Linked DNA regions of Cricetulus griseus. The protein of the gene in region 1 purifies or fractionates together with the protein of each later gene. This does not show direct contact. Links are inferred from orthologs where the notes say so. Each region holds a gene or a part of one and is shown in the gene's direction. Other genes may lie near its edges. The genes, in order: Cdc25c and Sufu.

The links.
Region 2: the proteins of Cdc25c (region 1) and Sufu purify together in Homo sapiens (affinity purification with mass spectrometry; 4 studies listed by BioGRID and IntAct, counting the BioPlex papers as one, with this or other methods). This does not show direct contact. The link is inferred for Cricetulus griseus from reciprocal best matches to the Homo sapiens genes CDC25C and SUFU.

The regions. Positions count from the first base shown.
Region 1 is NC_048595.1:202,742,919-202,747,473, forward strand, and holds the start of Cdc25c (M-phase inducer phosphatase 3), read left to right. Parts: upstream 1-1,557; 5' UTR 1,558-1,763; intron 1,764-2,119; exon of another isoform or gene 2,120-2,123; 5' UTR 2,124-2,156; coding exon 2,157-2,338; intron 2,339-4,066; coding exon 4,067-4,161; intron 4,162-4,555. UniProt on the Homo sapiens protein: Functions as a dosage-dependent inducer in mitotic control. Tyrosine protein phosphatase required for progression of the cell cycle. When phosphorylated, highly effective in activating G2 cells into prophase.
Region 2 is NC_048596.1:15,195,402-15,199,214, reverse strand, and holds part of Sufu (suppressor of fused homolog), read left to right. Parts: intron 1-1,723; coding exon 1,724-1,858; intron 1,859-3,813. UniProt on the Homo sapiens protein: Negative regulator in the hedgehog/smoothened signaling pathway. Down-regulates GLI1-mediated transactivation of target genes. Down-regulates GLI2-mediated transactivation of target genes. Part of a corepressor complex that acts on DNA-bound GLI1.

The DNA.
Region 1 (4,555 bases):
TACCTTCACACAGACTTACATGCAGGCAAACATGAATATACATGAAATTTAAAAAAAGCTATAGAAAAGAAAAAAAGTAAAATCTATTCTGAAGCAGAGTGCAGGAAACTGGATGACTACACATGCCTGTAATCCCAGAATTCAAGTGGTTGAGGTGGAGGGATTTCAAGCTGAAGACAAGTTTAAGATAAATGACACACAAAAAGTACAGCCTAATGCTTTGCTTCTCAAGAGTATGGCCCTGGGGTCTCATACCCAGACCTACTGAATCAGAATCCACTTTCTCAGGATCTCCAGGTGATTAGTATGTACATTAAATTTCCCACCCAGACGTCACTCCTAGTCATGCCAATTATCTTATCTATACTCACGCCCACTCGCAAAAGATATGAAAGAAGAAAAACAACCTAAGAATTTCTCGGGCTCAGGGCCTGGAGAGAGTTGTGGTTAAGAGCATGTATGGCTCTTGCAGAGTTTGGTTTTTTTAGCTCCCATGTTGGGCAGCTCACACTGCCAGTAACTCCAGTACTGAGGGATTGCCTCTGACCTTCCAACTTGCACACATACAATTAAAAAATAAGTCTAAAACTAATTTCTTGAGCCAGGTAGTGGTGGCTCACGCCTTTAGTCCCAGCACTCGGGAGGCAGAGGCAGAGGCAGGTGGATCTCTCTGAGTTCAAGGCCAGAGCGAGTGCTAGGATAGGCTCCAAAGCAATACAGAGAAACCCTGTCTCGGAAAAAAAGAAAAAAAAAATCTTGGACTGGGTAGTATCAGCTAAATGACAGTAGTTGTCCAGCGTTCCCAAGGCTTGGATTCCATTCCTATTACCACCCCCACTACCACTACCATAATAACTCTCCTCCTGCCCCCCTCCTCCTCTTCCTAGCAGTGTCTCCCTCTAGCCCCGGGTTATCTGGAGCTCACTCTGTCCTCCTATTCGCACTCTCTCAAGTGCTGGGATTGCAAGCATGAAACCACACCTCTCCCCACATATAAATACAATTTTGTTAATGTTCAAAGCCGCACAAATAGCCAAAGTTTAAGATCCTTTAGAATGTCGTGAGGATTACGTCAAAACGTTCAATTCTCCTACTCTCCCTGAAAAGGAATTTCTACCCAGAAAACCTCTTGGAATGGGTCAGGGGCGGCTCAGCATCAATACACACCTGCCACGCCCCAACAACTGCCACACTGGCGGCAAATGCTCCATTTCCAGCCGAAAGCTAACAAAACTCAAGAGAAACGACGCGAGAAAGAAGCAAGGAGAAGAAAACACTTCACGCAAGAATAGTTCCTCCAGACCGTCATCGTTAGCGGGGCTCGATTCAAATCTCCCGGGGTTGCTGGGGCTGGGGGAATTGAGTACTTGAAGGGTGTGACGATTGGCCAGAGGGAGAGCCAATGAGCATCAGACTCTCTGTGTGGCGGAGATGCCTAGTCGACCAGGTACGACCCTAGCGATTGGTAAGGGGGCAGGGTCCTAGTCTCGCACGCTGATTGGCTGACGCTACTGGCATAAGGACAGTGATAGGCTGTTGAGAGAGCGGAAGGTTTGAATGGTCAGGCCTATGGCTGTTGGTCTTGCCCTTCTGCCAATTCCGGAGAGAAGCAGCAAATCTGGACCTCGAGCTAACTAGATACCATTTTAACTCGAAGACCCTCTTCTCTTCCTCAGATTCCTTCTCATTCGCTGGAGTCTTCGCTTCCGTCCAGTTCTGCAGGAGTTTCTTTCTCCAAATTCAAATCTGCCTCTAAACTGAAGGTAAGCCGAGAGCTGTGTCCGTTCGGGAATCTCGGACACCCGATTGTCCCTGCAGGGTTCTTGCGGGGACCGGAGGTCCGAATAGCCTTATCGCGTTAGGTAGATCCAATTCTTCTGGCCAAGAGTGTGAAGCTGAACGATCCGGATCAAGCCAGTCTTCTCTCCGTTCCTCCTTTGAAGGCCTGAGCTTGCCAGGTCTCTGTAAATTTTTGCCCTGAGCAGTGTGACATTCCAGCGTGTTATACTTGATCCTTTGGGGATCCTTTTGGGGGGTGCTCCTCCACCCGGGCCTAGGCAGGCACTGGAAAGGGCGGAGAGGTTGGGAAAGCTGAGTATCTGTAGTGTTTTTCTCCTAGATAGCCACCCCTCTTCTTCCGTGAAGACTCCGAAGTCATGTCTACAGGACCCTTTCCATCTGCAAGAAAAGAGGGAAGTTTTGTTTCAGCACCCAGTTTTAGGTCCAATCAAAGGAAGATGTTAAACCTACTTTTGGAAAGAAACACTTCTTTCCCAGATTTCCCCAAATCTCCAGGAGACAAACTTCTCGACTCGACAAACCTAAGCATTTTGTCTGGGTAAATTTATTTTTTTAAAGATTTATTTTTTAATGATGTGTAGACGTGTGTGTGTGTGTTCCAAACGTGGGTATGTGTTTGTGATTATAGGTGGTCTCAGAGGGTCAGAGTTTTGTACCTGCCTGAAGTTATAGGTGGTTACTCTGCCTTAAGTGGGTGCTGGGGCCCTAACTGCAGTATTCTGGAAGAACAGCAAGCTTTTTTTTTTGGGGGGGGGGGCTGTTTCTAGACAGGGTTTCTCTGTGGCTTTGGAGGATGTCCTGGAATTAGCTCTTGTAGACCAGGCTGGTCTTGAACTCAGAGATCCTCTCACCTCTGCCTCCGGAGTACTGGGATTAAGGGCGTGGGCAAACCCCAACCCTGGGGAACAGCAAACTCTTAACCATTGAGCCATCACTCCAGCCGGTAAATTAACTTTTAGTTTTATACCTTGTCTTTGGTTTTATGAACAGGTTTGTTTTCAGAATTATACTGTTTCGAGGTTCAGGGTTTGTCTCAGCCATGACCTTGAATGTGTGACTCTTTTGAGTCACATTGGGCTTCCTTTCCATGTAACAAACAATAAAAAACGTCTTTTTTTTTTTTTTTAAAGATTTATTTATTTCATATACATTGTTCTACCTTATGCCAGAAGAGGGCACCAGATTGAATTGTGGTTGTGAGCCACTGTGTAGTTGCTGGTAATTGAACTCAGGACCTCTGGAAGAGCAGTCAGTGCGCTTAACCTCTGAGCCATCTCTTTAGGGCCCCCCCGCCCCCCCGTAAGTGTCTTTTTCTAAATGGGACTTGGTGGAGGATGTTTCTGATCTCACCTTTCTGGAAGCTGAGTCAGGATGACCACAGGTTCAGCCTGGGCTACTAGTAAATTTCAAGACAACTAGTGGGCTCCAGAGTGAGGCCTTATTGCAAACAAACAAATAATAATAAGAAAAATCATTTTCTATCTTAACAGGAATAATCTTTTCCTGTCATGCCAGAATCAATGTGATGTCTATGAAGAACTCTGAAAATTCTATTATTATGTTTTATGAGTTGGTCACTTTAATTGTATCAGTTTTAGTGTTGTACTTTAGAGTCTAGTCATATTGTCTTTACACCTCGTAGCAAACAGGATTTGAGGAATAGTAGAGATTCCGAGGAGAAATTGAATTTGTGTTCAGGGTGAACGGGGTAGAGAATGTGAGGTCAAGATCCTATTTACTGGGCAGGTGAGATGGCTCAGCATGATGGGCCCAGGTTAGAGCCCCTGTCTCCTGGAGTTGTCTTCACACAAGTATGTGCTCATACAAAAAAATGTGGTAAAAATTATAAAAAGATCCCTTTAGATTCTCATTAAATAAATCCCATCTCCATATGTTGGTGAGAAGAAAATTAGTCTCACATTTTTGTTTTTGTTTTGATTTTGTTTTTTGTTTTTTTGCTTGTTCAAGACCAGGTTTTTTTTGTGTAACAGCCCTGGCTGTCCTGGAACTCACTCTGAAGACCAGGCTGACCTTGACAGAGATCCACCTGTGTCTGCCTCCCTGGTGCTGGGATTACATTACTGTAATAGAGAAAAAAGTAGGGGATTGCTTTTCTCAGCCCAATCTGAGCTATTTCCAAATAGCAGATTTATTTGGATGTTGTTTAGATCTTTGTGGTAGTAATTGAGAGTGAAGACATGATCTCTACCTTTTTTAGGATAGTACTCCCTAATGGAAATCTTGATATATTTTTATGTCTCAACAGAGGAACCCCAAAACGTTGCCTTGATCTTTCAAATCTTAGCAATGGAGAGATGTCTGCTTCTCATCTTACCACTTCTGCTGACTTTGATGAAACAGGTAGGGGGACAGTCTTTAAAGAGAAAACTAACTTTAAGATTTTTATTAAACTTTTATGTGTATAAATATTTTTGCTTACATGTATGTGTACCACATGCATGCCTGGTATCCTCAGAGATCAGAGTATAGTTGCGAGTTGGATCCCCTGGAACTGGGATTACTGACTGTTATGAGTTACCATATGGATGCTCGGAAAGGAACCTGGATCCTTTGGAAGAATAGCAAGTACACTTAACTGCTAGCCATCTCTTAGGCTGAAGAGGTGGTTCCGTCTTTAAACACTAAGACTTACAAATATAAGGAAGGAGGAAAGGACAAGGTAATAGGATAAAAATTGAAGATGGTGAAAATAGGTTAAAAAATCAGGTGTATTAGCTTATGTAAGCCTAGCACT
Region 2 (3,813 bases), on another chromosome or scaffold:
GCCTCTTCTTGATATGCCCTCTCCTGGGAGACTGTCTGAAGGAGCTATAGTGTGCTGGCAGGTGGAGCAGGACGTGGAGCACAGTGTCACTGCTTGTTGCTCAATGGACTGAGGCTGCAGCAAAGGCTCTTGGGGATTTGCAATAGGAAGTTGGAGGGAATATGGAGCCTGTATTTTTTAGGGTTCTGCAGTCATAATGGGGTCCTTTTCTTTCTTCTGTCCTTCCCCAAAATGTTTCTAAATACAACTGGTTATGGATTTAGTCAAGTGATTTGGTGATGGTGCATGCACACCTTTAATCCCAACACTTTAGAGGCAGAGGGGGATCTCTGTGAGTTCCAGGTCAGCCTGAACTACAGAGATAGTTCCAGGACAGCCAGGCTACACAGGAAAACCCTGTCTTGCAAAACAAAAAACAAACAAAAGGCAGGCATAGAGACTTGGCCTTTTACCTAACTCACTCAGGTGAGAGCTAAATTATTTGTAGTGACTTTCTTTCTTATGAGTTCTATAAATAACTTAGCCTTTTCTTTTCTTTTTCCCCAGAGAATAAGGATTTCTGCAAAGGCTAATAACATCCTGGCAAAGAGGATGAAACCAGACTTACTGGTTTTAAAATAGGATTTGAATTGCATGGTCCTGGCACGCTTGCTGGGATCTCCTGTACCATGTCTTTTATTTGGTTGTTAGCGGTCCCTCAGTAGTGTAGCCCACATGCAAAGTGTACTCCTGCCTATGGTCCAGGGCCAGGCAAAGATTCTACAGTCTGTGGAGTACAGTCTGTGGTTGCTCACATGTGGAGTTCATGGGCTCAGTACACACTTTGTTCTGCTGATGGTTTCCATTTAGTGTGCTTCTCAAGTCTACTATGCTTTCCTGTCCATTCTTAAGGAAAACAGTTTTGTTTGTTGCTTGTTTTGTTTTGCTTAAGCACTAATTACTAAAAGAACTTTTATTGAATTAAATCTCTAGTGAGGTAATGACTGAATATCTTCTTCAACTGCTTCTCTGTTGGATTTATGGGGAAATTTAATGTGAGCCTTGGGAGCATCAAATTGTGAATTGTCCCAGCTCTTCTTTGAGACAAATGACTCGGATGCTCCTTAGCACGCAGGTGCTCACAGGGTCAGCCTGGTTCATTGCTTCAGTGCTCCGCGTAGAGCTGGGCTAGCTGATGTTTGGACTTTGTCACTCTCAGTGAATGAGCTTTGATCTGTGCAGACCAGAGGCTTTGTGTGTATTTAGAAGAAACAATAATAGAGGCACAATCCAGGCTTTCAGGAACTAGCTGTCTAAGAGACAGGCGTAGACTGATACCTGTACTGCCAGGAATGACGTCCATTGGGCATGCTCTGTATAGTCATTCAGCAGAAGCCGCAGCCACTGCTTAGCTGATGCACCTCTTACCTTGAAGCCTGGCATGTTGTCAGGCCCCATAGAAGACTCCAGCTGGAGTCAGCAACTTGAAACAGGAGAGAGCAAGGCGTGCAACCAGCAAGTGTGCTTCAGAGGGCAGAGAAGGGGGCTTCTTGGTCATGAGGCGTCAATAGCCTCAGCTGCTTCACCCGTGGCTCGTTGCTAAAGAGATTTTTGCTGCCCTTTAGTTATCTTTTGCTTTAGGTCCTTCTAGGATGGGGCTTTTGGGTTTGTAGAGCAGAGCCTCTTACTTGACATTTTCTGGTATCCAGGTTTAAATTGACACCTTATATTTTGTCTTTTGCAGGTTGGGTGGTCCAGACCCATTGGATTATGTTAGCATGTACAGGAATATGGGGAGTCCTTCTGCCAACATCCCCGAGCACTGGCACTACATCAGCTTTGGCCTGAGCGACCTCTATGGTGACAGCAGAGTCCATGAGTGAGTGTATGCCACCTGTCTTTCCTTGATAAGTCCATTTCTTTGGCTTTATTGAACATGTGTGATGTTCTGTGGACATGTTAGTTCTACTAGGTGACACTTCCCAGTGTTACCTCTCTGTTTGTACTTTCTGCTTGTGCTATGTAGACCTAGCTGGTATTGAACTTGTGCTTGTAGATGGCTTAGGTTGCTCTTGAAATTCTCCATCCTCGCACTTGAGCCTCCTGCGTGGCAGGGGTTGTAGATATGTGCAGCAAACTTGCATTCATCTGTGCTAGCATTGTCCACTTCATTTTTAGCACTGATCTGCTTCTATTCCTTACCCTTTTTGAGGCTAGAGAGATGGCTCAGCCATAGCTCAAGTGGTTAAGAGCACTGGCTGCTCTTCAGAGGACCCAGGTTCAATTCCCAGCACTCACAGGACAGCTCACAACTGTCTTAACTCCAATTCTAGCAGATTCAGTATCTTCTTCTGGCCTCTGTAGGCAACAGGCGCATAATGGATACACAGACAAACATGCAGCCAAAACAACCGTACACTTAAAATAATAGAATAATTTAAAAAATTTCTTACTCTTTCACTGATTTCTCTTTATAATCACCTAGTATATGTCTTAATTCTAAAATATATATTTGAGAATTAATATATATATATATTATATTTTCATATATATATTATATATATATATTTTTTTTTTTTTTTTCGAGACAGAGTTTCTCTGTATGGCTTTGGAGCCTATCCTGGCACTTGCTCTGGAGATCAGGCTGGCCTTGATCTCACAGAGATCTGCCTGCCTCTGCCTCCTGAGTGCTGGGATTAAAGGCGTGTGCCACCAACACCCAGCTCTAAATTTTGGTATTTTAATACCAAGCAAAAATATAATTAACTTAGTATTTAATCTTCCAAAATTGCAATTAGAATAATTATAAAAGCTAACAACATTTTTTTAAATCACTGATTATATGCCAGGTACTCTTCTATTTATTTTATACTTATGTGTCACTAATGAATTTAATTTTCAGCATAACATTGTAAAATTGGAAGGTGATAATATGTGCCCCACTTAGTATGAGGAAATGGAAACAAAGAGCTGCTATAACATAATATTATTTGTCCACAGGGTGAGGGCCAAGATTGATTGATTGATTGGGTGATTGATTGAGAGCCAGGTTAGATGTTGATAGTCTGGCTCCACAGGTCAGACTCCTTCAGGATCCTCAGGCATAGTAGCCAAGTGCTGTATCATGGAGCTACATCTTCAGTTCAGTCTATAATCTGGGTTCTTTTGAGACAAGTTCTTGCTATATAGTCCTGACATGCCTGGAACTTACTATACGAAAGTATTTAACATAGCAACATGGAAGATTTTAAGTACTACAATAAATCGGGGGGGGGGGGGTTATCATCTTCATTAACATATCACCCTTGTAGATGGACTTTTCTTTCCCACCTGCCAGTTCCCAAATAACCGACACAGAGACTCAATATTAATTATAAATGCTCCTCTGATAGCTCAGGCTTATTACTAACTAGTTCTTTTTTGTTTTTTGGTTTTTGTTTTTTGGTTTTTTTTTTTGGCTTTTCGAGACAGGGTTTCTCTGTGGCTTTGGAGGCTGTCCTGGAACTAGCTCTTGTAGACCAGGCTGGTCTCGAACTCACAGAACTCACCTGCCTCTGCCTCCCGAGTGCTGGGATTAAAGGCATGTGCCACCACCGTCTGGTTACTAACTAGCTCTTACAACTTAAATTAACCCATTTCTATTAACCTATGTATTGCCATGTGACTCATGGCTTTACCTCTCCTCTAGCAAGTCTTGCTGTCTTTTTGCCTCCTGGTGAACTGCACTGACTCCACCCTTTTTCCCAGAGTCCTTAGTCTGGATTTTCCCATCTATCCTTACTTATCCTGTCCAGCTGCTGGCCAGTCAGCTTCTTTATTAAGCCAATCACAGCA